3 linked regions of the Notamacropus eugenii genome follow. The protein of the gene in region 1 purifies or fractionates together with the protein of each later gene. This does not show direct contact. Links are inferred from orthologs where the notes say so. Each region holds a gene or a part of one and is shown on either strand. Other genes may lie near its edges.

Region 1 (3,745 bases):
ACCGACTTCTGGAACCCAGGCGTCTGAGGCTCCGGTCCGGCATGGGCACGGTGGGGAGCGGGGAGTGCTGGACTACGGATTCACTCCGGGGCCGAGGATAAGGACGCCACCCCGTGGGTGGGGGAAGCAGCAGGGAGGGCTCTCCGCACGCGTGTCTGAGGACTGACCGGGGCCGGAACCAGGGATCGCGGCTGCCGGGGCGGGTAGGAAGAAGGACTGAAAGTTTTCTTTCTGGAGCCGCTTTGGAAGTGCTCCGTGGCCGCGATTTTAGGGCTGGGTCCACCCGAAGACTGAGGTGCCGGCCGGCCGACGCCGCTTCTAGGCTCAGGGCGAATTAAATTTTTTACAAAAAATAACATTGTGTAATGCTTTTGTGACTGACTAAGCTTGCCGTCTCAGAAAGGTTGCCTCCCTCCTCTTCCTCCCCGCCTCTCCATTCGCCTCTTCTTTCCTCTGGTCGCCCCGCCTCTACGTCACCGGAATGGCGGCCGCCAGAGGGGCGGTTCGGCCTTCGGGCGTGCCCGGCTTGACGCCTCGCCCGGCGGGTCGTTAAGAGGGGCCCTTCCTAACCCTTCTCGGCCTTGACACCACCAGCGGGAAAGTCCGGAAGACTCGGCTTCCCGCGTGTAAAGCACACCGTCCCCGCCCCACAGGGCCGGATGGGAACACACAATGGTCGCCGCGAAGAATAGGGCGTCCGGGCCGCTCGCACCTGAGGGAGGGAAGGGAAGGGAAGGGGGAGGGGAGGCGGGCCAGGTGAACAATAGGAAGTGTGTGCGGGGTGTCCGGGTGTGCGCGGGCGCGTGTGGAGGAGCCTGACGGTTGGGGTGGGCACGTGGGAGGCCGGCTCGTGGGGCGTCGCGCGGAAGTCACCCAGGCTGGCGGGGGTGGGGGTGGGGAACGTGTGTGCTGGGGCAGGGGAGGTAGCTGAGGAGCCCGGCCTCTTGGGGGTCGGTTGGCAGCCGCGGGCTTCCCACCCGTCGGCCGCTCCCCCCACCTCGACGCTCTGAGGCCTCCTCGCTGGGCCCCATTTCTCCTGTTCTTCGGAGAAGAAGGAGGTGCCACCTTGTGAGAAGGGCCGGGGAGGCGCCTCGGAGATTTGAACCTCCGGGAGGAGGAGGAAGAGGAGGGGGGCGGCGGTGGGAGGAGACTCCGGAGCAGCCCTGGGTCGGGCCGGCGGTACACCAGTCAGGTCCTCACCCCGTAGCCGGGCGGTAGTAGCACCGATCACTTGAATCATCCAGGGAGAGGTGGGGGGAAAGGGACCAGTAGAGAACCGCCCCTCCCCCACCCGCCCCCCTTACTCCCCCTCCCCCAGTGGTCTCCCGCAGGAGATTGGTTGGAACTCCCCGAGCTGTCCCCCGCCGGGGCCTAGTTCTCACCTCCGGAGGAGGGACCCGGGCACCGGGCGGGGGGAGGAGAAGTAGGCGGAGAGACCGGGGCATTGGGGGAAGAAGGAGGAGGAGGAGGAGGAGGAGGAAGCGAGCCCGGGGCCGCGGCCGGAGGAGGAAGAGGAGGAGGAGGAGGGAACGGGGCCCCGGTGGGGGGGCGGAGCGGCCGCCGCGGGTTTGTTTTCTCGGCAGTAGACATGGCAGACGAGACCCCCAAGAAGGGGAACTTTTCGGCTCTCGTTGGACACACCAATGGCCTCACGAAACCCGCTTCCCTGGCGGCGGCCGCCGTCGCCACGAAACCCGGGGGGGGCGGGGGCAGTGGCGGCTCCTCAAAGAAATTAGTGATTAAAAATTTCAGAGGTAGGTAAGTGTGTGCAAACGAGGTGAGGGCGCGGAGGGAGGCGGGCGGGGAGGCCAGCTCGGGCCGGGCCGGGCCGCGTCTGGGCTGCTCCCCTTTCTCCCCACCCCCAGGGCCCCGGGGAGGGGGGGTTGTTTCCTCCAGACTGACCCGTCCCTTCTCCCCTCCCCCCGCGGTGCGCGCCGCCGTGGAGGCGGGGATCCGCCAGGGTGTCAGCGTGTTTTTTTCACGGGGGCACGAAAGGGAAGGGGGGAAGACTGTTTCCTGCCCCCCCAACCTCCAGGCGGCGGCGGCGGCGGCCCGCTAGCTCGACTCGGCGCTGCCGGAGGATTCCCTGAGCTGCATGACTTCAGCGGCAGCCAATGGGGAAGGGGCTCGGCGGAGGGCCGCCGCCTGCACGCGCTGCGCTGACCTTTGGTGACCTCGTTCAGTCGGCCGGGGCCCTCCCACTCCAGTGCGCTGGCGAGAGATAATCCTCCTCTTCCTTTCTTATTGTCAGAAATAGCCCCGGCCCCCGCCCCCTAAGTCGCTAGTCCGAGGGGTCCCGACTGACTCCCTCCAGCCCTCTGGTTAGGCTCTTACGTAGAGGGAGAAAGCAGACGTTAATAGTGGACCTTTGTGCGTTAAATCATTTCCCCATTTGTGGCGATACTTTGTATCCTTCTGTCGATTGTTAGCGGGAATATTCAGAAATGTCAGTAAATCTTCACAGGTGTTGAATGTGGGAGGGCTTAAGTTTCAGCAGTGATTGTGATGCTGGACAATTTATTTCCTAGTGTGGTGACAATACAAATTGTCATTTCTTAATGTTCATAAGAGGGTCTTAAGGCTCTGTAAAGTTTGTTTTAGATCTCAGCAATAACGCTCATCACTCCTTAAGAGATCATTTGACTTTTTAAAACTGGCTTGGCTAGTCTAAAAGTTTCTGTAATAAAATAGTACTGTGGTAGTGTACTTTAGTTAACAGTGTTTTTATCAAATATCAAATTATTCTTGTAGAGTTGATAAGTGAGCCTAAACACTCTAGATTTGAAACACGTCTAAAAAGGCTTGTTAATTGTGTGAGGCAAATATGTGGTGGATAGTTGACCTTGGAGTCAGTTCAAGTCCTGCGTCTGATACATATTAGCACTGTGACCATGGGCAAGTTACTCAGCTTCTCCGTACCCTAGAAACTCTTAAAAACTTTGAGGGTTGCACTCGGGAAGGGAATTTGCATGTTAGGAATTCCCTACCACAATGAAATTACAAGCCCAGACCATTTCCACTCTCCCAAAAAAGTATCATCCAATACTGTTAATAAGTATCACTATAGCAAAAAAGCAGTACTACTTTCTGTGATGGTACTAGGTACATAGCAATTCACCTTTCTACTACTTTACACAAACTGGCTATAGTGTTAGAAATAAGCCTCTTTAATATGTAATTTATACTAGTAATGGAGTCAGGATAATTTATCCATTACTGAACATTTAAAATCAGTACTTAAATTTTAAATGCTTATTCTTTGGAGCCCAGTATTGTTACAGATTTAAGAGAAACTGTTAACCTGCATTTTGCTTGTACTTAACCCAAGAATCATGTTACTTTGCTAGATATATTTATGAAGTTGATTTCTGTGTTAACCTAACATGCCCATTGTTTTGAATGCATAGTTTGGTAGGCTTTTTAAAATGATTGGCTACGAGCAAGCTATTTTCTGTTTTATTTTGTATCCCGCTTTACAGACAGACCGAAGTTGCCAGATAATTATACTCAGGATACATGGCAGAAACTTCATGAAGCAGTTAGAGCCATACAAAGTAGCACCTCCATTAAATACAATCTTGAAGAACTCTATCAGGTAAGTGCTCAAATGTCAGTGGGGCAGAGTTTTGGAAAAATGTTGGTACTTATTTAATTGAGAATGTCAGATTTTCTTTTACTTGCAGAATGTTTAAGCTTGACCAGGAGAGTATTCTGTTTTTAATGCCAACTCTTGAAAGCTTTGTGA
Region 2 (3,745 bases), on another chromosome or scaffold:
ACCTTCAAGTTGTATCTTAAAGAGATTGATCTGGCCAAGAGGAAACTCTTGATCAAATGGATCTCTGATCTCATTGATTTGGAAGCCTTTCTCTATTCAGATTGCAATCCATTCATGCTTGACCATTTTGTATGACTTGCTCATGTCTTGCAAAAAATTCACCACAGAAGACCCCCCTATGATGCTGGAGGTCTTTCTTTTTAACATTGGGAAGGTAATAGTGGACTACTCCAGATATGTAGCCATAATCCCACATGACATATAACCAGCCCATCTGATTTTCCTGGCATTTTTATTCTTGGTCTTCTTCCAAGTTCATCATTGGTCATATATTATAGCTTGCTCACAGCCACTGTACTTTTCTCTATTTTCCTCTATGTGATTGTCATTTTTAACTCCAGAGAAGAATAATGTTACAAGAAATATGTTACTACTATGTTTCAAATCTAATAGATACTTAGCAATATCCAGAGGATATTTATAATGCAACCTATGAGGTTTGTCCACAAATATGTATACCTGAGACAGACAATACTGACTGACAAGTTGGGCAGAGTTGAACAGGAGGACCACGAGCTGATTTCCTTCAGGAAATTACAAAGTTACTTTAATGACCCAGGTTCCCATGAAAGCCAAGGGCCATGCTTTACTTTTAAAATTAAACATATATTTTAAAATTCATTTTTATTTTATTATACACAATTTATTTTGCTTCATTATTTTATTATATTTTCAGTTCTGAATTCTCTCTCCCCTCCCCCGACAATCACCCATCTCTTAAATATCAGCAGGCTCTGGGCATTGCTACATTGTAACAAGACATGGAATTGAACGGTGTCTGAAGAATCAAAACAATGAATGTCATACAGAGGGTAATTAATGACGGGTGATGAGGGGGTTAGGGTTGGAATCCTGGCTCCACTAGCAGTGTGACCCCCCTCCTCTGGGCCTCAGTTTTCTCATCTGTAAAATGAAAAGGCGTGCTTCAGCTCCGCTCCATCATCCTGTGCCCCCAGGAGCAGCAAACAGGCAACGGGAACGGCTGCTAAGGAGGGAGTCAATTTCAGCAGGCGTGGTCGCTTAGAGCTCAGGCGGGCTCACCTCACCTCCGGACGCCAGGGGGCGCGCTCGCTCTTGCCGGGCAGGCGATGGTGCGCTCTCTGCGCACGCTTCCAACTCTATGGCCCTCACTTCCGTGGGCCGGCTGAGGGAGGGGGGTGGGGGGGAACGGGGCCATCCCGGCCGTTGTCGCCGGGTGCCGGCGTCAGTGGCAACATGGCGGTGGCGGCGGCGGCCGTGGCGGCCGTCGGAGTGCGGCCAGCGCAGCCCGGGGATCCCCTCGCCCCGGCCTCATGAGCCCGGCGCGACGGGGGGCGCGGGACGGACGGGTGAGGACGCTCCCCTTCTCCCGCTTCGTCGGCTCTCTGGTCCTCGGGCCTTCCTCTCGGCCAGCGGCCCCCTCCTGCCGGCCGGGCCGCCCGGACCCTGGGCCGCGCTCCTCCCCGGCCTCCCTCCCCCGGACCCCCGCGCCCCGAGGTTTAACCGAGCCCCAGCCCAGCTGCCCCTGAAAGTCGTGCTCCCCGCGGGCTGGCCTCCCCCTTCTGGCGGAGCCTCAGGGCTTAGAGCGGGAAGGGCCCTCGGAGGTCAGCCGGGCGTAAGGGCCGGGGCCCGGGGCCCAGCCCCGGCCTTGCCTGGCTTTGTGCCCCGCACCACGGTGTTCCCGGACTCCACCCACTCCCCGCTTTCCGTAACCTTTGCCGCCGGCTCTCTCCTCTTCTTGGGGAAATGGGGAGAGACTGCCCTTAAACCAACTCCTCTATGGTTAAGTCTGGAAAAGATAGATAAGAGAGGCAGGGAGATGTCATGGAAAGAGAAGCCGATTGGGAGGCAGAAGAGCTAGGTTCATACCCGTGCAAAGTGCCTCATTCCCCTCAGGACCTTAGTTTTTTTTTTAGTCTATGAAAAGGAAAGGGTTTGATTAGATCAGGGTTTGCCAGTCTGGGGTGGAAGTACCCCGCCCCCCCGGGGTGTGAGCCTCTCGTTGAGGGGTTTGAGGGAATAAGTGGTAAATATCTTGGCTTTTTTATTGAAATAGTCCAAAAGTAGTGGTATTAGTGATTATTTTATGATACTAAAAGTGTTACACGCTGAATAAAGTGTTCTGTATGAAAAACGAGTCTCTTTATTTCTTACATGCTCTTGCATGGTAAACTCTAGAATATCTCCTTTCATATTGAAACTGAAAGGTTTCCTTAAAGCCAAAGAATATCACGAATGAAAAAGGTTGAGAAGCTTCTTATTCTAGATGATCTGAGGTTTTGTTTTTGTCTTAAACTATCTCTGAATCCTATGATCCAGTGAATTGAGTTCCAGAGTCTTAGTAATTTAGAAAACCAGCATGGGGGGGAGAGTTTTAATCAGAAGCCAGGGGCCTCTTCCCACCACTCCAACATCCTTTTTGAGGGGTTGAATGCTGTTGGGGGGAGGCGGCAGTAGGACATTGCGGAAAAAAATGGAAGAAGCACAGTATGAAAACAAGAGGTTTATGAAACTGTTTCTGAACTTTCATCTTGGCTTAATTTTGAGTGATTCTCTTAGAGTAGAAGAGCAGCATAAAAGGGGGTAGAGTGGGGGAGAAACCAAACTCTTGTCATGGTCTTTAAATCAAATAGTGTTTTGCATGTAATAATTCCTAGTATAGTTCTTCATAAATAGTAAGTGCTTAATCACCAGCATTTATCAAGCATTTATTGTAGTCCAAGTACTATGCATAGTAAATGTCTTCAAATGAAGTTAAATTTGAATTAATGCTTCTTAAATCATTCTTTAAAAGTCTATGCTCTACATTGGGGCTACTGATAATGTTAAGGTGAGAGCAGTACTTTAAAATGACTTCATATGTTTTAGGGAAGGGAATTCTTAACTGGGAATTCTTACTCTGAATTCACATATTCTGGTGATTCAGATGTTTTTGATGGAAACACATTATAGCTAAGCGTTCTTGAGATATTTCTAGTGTGTTAAGCTCTTCCCATTATTCTCATGCTGAGGACAGACTTGAAGTTTACTCTTGTTTCCTTGTGACCTAAAGGTGGAAGATTTTAGGTAAACCCTGAGATGATGTGTGTTTGGAAAGGGAACTTGGGTTTTTGGTTTGTTTGTTTGTTTTTTTTTCATTTTATGTGTGACACTCTGCTCTTAATCATCCAGAAATAAGATGCTGTGATGATGGATCATGATGTTCCAACAATCAAACCTCGAAGAATCCAGAACCAAAATGTTATCCACCGCTTGGAGCGTCGGCGCATCAGTTCAGGCAAGGCTGGTACCCACTGGCACCAGGTTCGAGTGTTCCACCAGAACGTCTTCCCCAACTTTACTGTGGTTAATGTGGAGAAGCCACCTTGCTTCCTGCGAAAATTTTCACCTGATGGGCGCTACTTTATTGCCTTTTCTTCAGACCAGACATCACTGGAGATTTACGAGTACCAGGGCTGCCAAGCAGCAGAGGACCTACTGCAGGGTTATGAGGGTGAAATTTTGGCTAATGGCAATGACCAGAGGTCAGTCAACATCCGAGGCCGACTCTTTGAACGCTTCTTCGTCTTGTTGCATATCACCAATGTTGCGGCTAATGGTGAACACCTAAATCGTGAGTGTAGCCTCTTCACAGATGACTGCCGTTGTGTCATTGTGGGTTCAGCTGCCTACCTCCCTGAAGAGCCTCATCCTCCTTTTTATGAAG
Region 3 (3,745 bases), on another chromosome or scaffold:
ATGGTTAGATGCTAGAGAATAGATGAAAATATTTTAACGATATATGTGTGATAGGGCCATTAGGACATTTTAAAACTTACACATAGGAGGGTGTAAGGCTGAAAGAACATTAGCTGTCCCTCCTTTCCTACAACTCAGTATTTTCCTGATTACAACCACTGGTTTGTTTTTTTCAGTAGTTGTAATTTTCCCTAATAAATATTTCTTCAATTAATCTATCCCACCCCCCTCCACAAACATACCCAGAGAGCAAATTAAAAAACAACAAAACAAAAACATAAATCCCTCAGTACAGATTCACATAGTTTGGTAAAACAAATTCCCACATTAGTCACATCCAAAAATGTATATCTTTTTGCAATTTAAACTCACCACTGTTGAAACCAAAAAAAAAAAAAAAACCAAAAGATCATGTAACCTGATGAAAATTCAAAAACTTTATTTAAGCCTAACACTCCCAGAAAAATTGACTTACCATTTCCACACTTTGACTAGATCATCCAAGGATCCTGAGACAATCATTTCAGAGTTCTCTCTTTGATTTGTCCCCCAGGCAACTGACCAGATGGCATCATCATGAGCTAGGACAGGGAAAAAGAGTTATTCATCACAAGAGGGTTGGTCACTAGGTGATAAAATGTTTCAAGCAAAAGAACTCAAAAAGACATATACTATAGGGGGAATCTGTGAGCAGAATGAATATCCACAACAATGAAATCATAGATCTTTGACATACCGAAGTTATGTTTCAATCATGTGTATAAAATTTATACATATAGTTCCATAACTCCAAAAACAAAGATATTAAAATAGGCTTAAACTGGACAACAGAACATTGAGGGGGGGAAAAAGAAGTGCTAGCTGGGAAGTTTCCTAGAAATCATGAAATCCAGCCCAGTGGCACAGAGATGTCATACACTTACCAATCCTTGTTGGATTAAAATATTATCCACCATGGGCTATCTTTTTTCAGACCAGACCTGTGATTTCATTATTATAGAAAATATCTAGTGAGGAATTTCTTCTACCATTGCAAATCCACACTTTCTCTGCAACTTAAATAGAGGTAAAGTTGCTGGCAGCAGAAAGAGTCTACATGACTCATCCAGAGTCACAGAGTAAGGATGTGACACCAGCAGGAATGAACTCAGGTCTGCCTAAGAGGTCCACTTGCTAACCACTACATCATGCTGCCTCCAGTACAATCACATCCCTTGTGCAAAGGGTAAACTATTTCAATCTGTGGGCTGGAGGCTCTTGCTGTGTGGAGCAGTGTATTTTTGTTCATCTTCAGAACTGCAAGTCAACTGAGAGAGGTATTTGATAAAAGGTATTTTAACATCAAAAGACCTGGGTTCTAGGCCCATCTCTAACCCAAACTTGTTGTGTGACCATGGGTAAGCATGTACCCAAAAGGAATTTATATCTGATGCCTGAAGACCAGCCTCTGTTAGGTTTAGAGAGAGAGGTTCCACACTAGGTTGGCTGAAGGACACAGAATTTTTCAGTCATAGCAAGTGACCCATTGTACTCCCTAAAAACCCACAAGACCAAGTAAGGATGGGCTCAGGAACTGCAGCTCTGCAGAACAAGGAATCTTGAAAGCTGTTGCTTTCTGATGAGAAACCAAAGGCCAGAAGACTGTTTCCATACCTTGTTCTTGTTTGAAGAGAATGCTATACTGAAAAGAGAAGAGTCATCACGTCACACAACTGATCAGAGCTCCACAACAGACCTTCTCTATCCAAGGGCCCCTCGCTCCCACAACATCCCCCAGGCATCTTCCCTGACTGCCCCTCGTACAGCCTGTGCGGGGCGGAGGGGCCCCTGAGGCCCCTGGACCAGCATCCTCATTTAGCAGACCGGGCAGAGTTTGCCGGCCAGTCTTCTGGTGTGTTTATACCTCATCTCCGCACCTCGGCCACATAACCTGGGCAGACCAGGAGCTGCCTTCTTAGACACTTTTCTGTCACCTACGTGAACTTGCAAAGGACAAACGCCTTGTTCGGTTCTCTCCAGCCCGTCTGACTCTCTGGGCCCCCAGCAGGGGGGCCATTTCCTTCTCCAGCCCATTTCACAAAGGAGGGGACTGAGGGTCACCAGGCAGCACAGAGTATCTGACCCAATGAGCCCCATCCTGCCACACCACACCCTGCTTCTCTGGGGGAGCCCTCAGCCCCAGGGCGCAGCCTCTTCGATGCTCACCTGGACACTCATCTCTTCCGCTTAGGGCGAGCGACCATGGGCAGACTGCTCTGGGGAAGAAGTGGGTGTTACTGGTAAAGGGAGGGCCGGCCTCGGAGGAACCCCTACCCCAGGGGCACCCCACCCCGGCCTTTGTTTACCCCGGACACGAAGGCCGTCTCCCCGGCACGGCTGGGGGCCGTGCGGCCTCACGGGCTGGGGAGAAGCCGAGAGGCCCCGGCGCAGCGTTGTCACCCCAGGGCCCGCCCGGCCGCCGCTTACCACACCCAGGGGGGCCCCTTTTACGGAGGGTCGGGGACGGGATCCCCCAGCCGGTGGCGGGCACGCGGCCCCCCGCACCCCCTTCCTGAGGGGAAGCCCGAGGCAGTGTGCTCCCACCTTCTCAGCGGCCGAGGGAGAGGGGGGCTTGGGCGGGCAGACAACCTGACCTAGGCCAGGCCGGCCCGCCTCCTTCGCCGCGGCCCGCTTGGGCTTTCCCCTGGTCCCTGCCTCACCCGCTCTGGGCTCTCCTGCTCAGCCTGGACTTCCCTCGCCGAGGCCTTCCTCTCTCAGCCTCTTCCTTAGCGACAGCGGCACCGGGTAATGACGTACGAGCTGAGGATGCCGGCGCACGGCGCGCTAGGGTGACGCCACGACGCCGCGTGAGCTCCGCGGTGGCGTCCGGTCGCCCCCTGCTGGGCTCAGGTGAAAAGGAAAGAAGAATGAGGAGGTCCTCGGGCCCCGCCCACTGCGGTGCTGGCTCCGCCCCCATCCCTAGGGCCCCGCCCTTCCTTCCAGACCACGAATTCCTTTCTCCAGCCCGGAAAAAATTACAACACCTGAGGGGGAACTGTGTGGGCCCCCGGAAACGAGCCCCCAGCCTCTGCCCTCGCGCTTCCGGCTCCGACCAGCCTGGGGACCTAGGGCCCCCGAAGGTCTACACGGCTGCCGGAAGCTTCGGCCACGCGCGTGGAGCGGTCCTGGGGATGGCCTCGGCCCCTTTGCGTACTTGGCACCCCGAGGCAGAGACCCGCCGCCGGCCGTCTCCTCTGGGCCTCCCCACCCCGAGTCCCCGCGGCACGGGCTTCGCCGTCGTTCAGCTCCCGACTCCGGGCATTTGCCCCGGCTATCGGGCTGCCTCCTGGCTTCCTGCGGGCCCCAGCTGAAATCCCACCTTCTATAAGAGCGTTTCTCAGGGGCTCCTGAGGCCGAGCCTCCAGGCCCTGGTGGCCGCGTCAGGACAATTAACTCTCCCCCGCTCCTGCGGGGCCTACTAGAAGCCCCTTTGTTCTCCCCCAGACGTCCCTCCGGGCACGAAGCCCCTGGGTGGTTCAGAGGAGTCAGAAAGGCCCGAGTTCCAATCCAGCCTCAGATCCTTCCTAGCTAGGGGACCGTGGGCCAGTCACGTGACCCCTGCCTCGGTTTCCCCAAATGTAAAACGGATGATAACAGCACCCACCTTCCAAGTTGTTGTAAGGATCCGATGAGATGCCATTACGAAGGGTTAGCCTTGTGCCTGACCCCTAGCAGGACCTCTGTGTAAATGTTAAAGAGTGTATGT

What was found.
Region 2: the proteins of CUL4A (region 1) and DET1 purify together in Homo sapiens (affinity purification with western blotting; 6 studies listed by BioGRID and IntAct, counting the BioPlex papers as one, with this or other methods). This does not show direct contact. The link is inferred for Notamacropus eugenii from reciprocal best matches to the Homo sapiens genes CUL4A and DET1.
Region 3: the proteins of CUL4A (region 1) and SKIC8 purify together in Homo sapiens (affinity purification with western blotting; 3 studies listed by BioGRID, with this or other methods). This does not show direct contact. The link is inferred for Notamacropus eugenii from reciprocal best matches to the Homo sapiens genes CUL4A and SKIC8.

The regions. Positions count from the first base shown.
Region 1 is NC_092877.1:207,996,933-208,000,677, reverse strand, and holds the start of CUL4A (cullin-4A), read left to right. Parts: upstream 1-1,451; 5' UTR 1,452-1,588; coding exon 1,589-1,754; intron 1,755-2,164; exon of another isoform or gene 2,165-2,302; intron 2,303-3,479; coding exon 3,480-3,595; intron 3,596-3,745. UniProt on the Homo sapiens protein: Core component of multiple cullin-RING-based E3 ubiquitin-protein ligase complexes which mediate the ubiquitination of target proteins. As a scaffold protein may contribute to catalysis through positioning of the substrate and the ubiquitin-conjugating enzyme.
Region 2 is NC_092872.1:168,076,999-168,080,743, reverse strand, and holds the start of DET1 (DET1 homolog), read left to right. Parts: upstream 1-1,196; 5' UTR 1,197-1,388; intron 1,389-3,210; 5' UTR 3,211-3,225; coding exon 3,226-3,745. UniProt on the Homo sapiens protein: Component of the E3 ubiquitin ligase DCX DET1-COP1 complex, which is required for ubiquitination and subsequent degradation of target proteins. The complex is involved in JUN ubiquitination and degradation.
Region 3 is NC_092872.1:255,271,843-255,275,587, forward strand, and holds the start of SKIC8 (superkiller complex protein 8), read right to left. Parts: upstream 2,868-3,745; 5' UTR 2,700-2,867; exon of another isoform or gene 2,584-2,699; intron 2,256-2,583; 5' UTR 2,218-2,255; coding exon 2,206-2,217; intron 1,682-2,205; coding exon 1,654-1,681; intron 582-1,653; coding exon 476-581; intron 1-475. UniProt on the Homo sapiens protein: Component of the PAF1 complex (PAF1C) which has multiple functions during transcription by RNA polymerase II and is implicated in regulation of development and maintenance of embryonic stem cell pluripotency.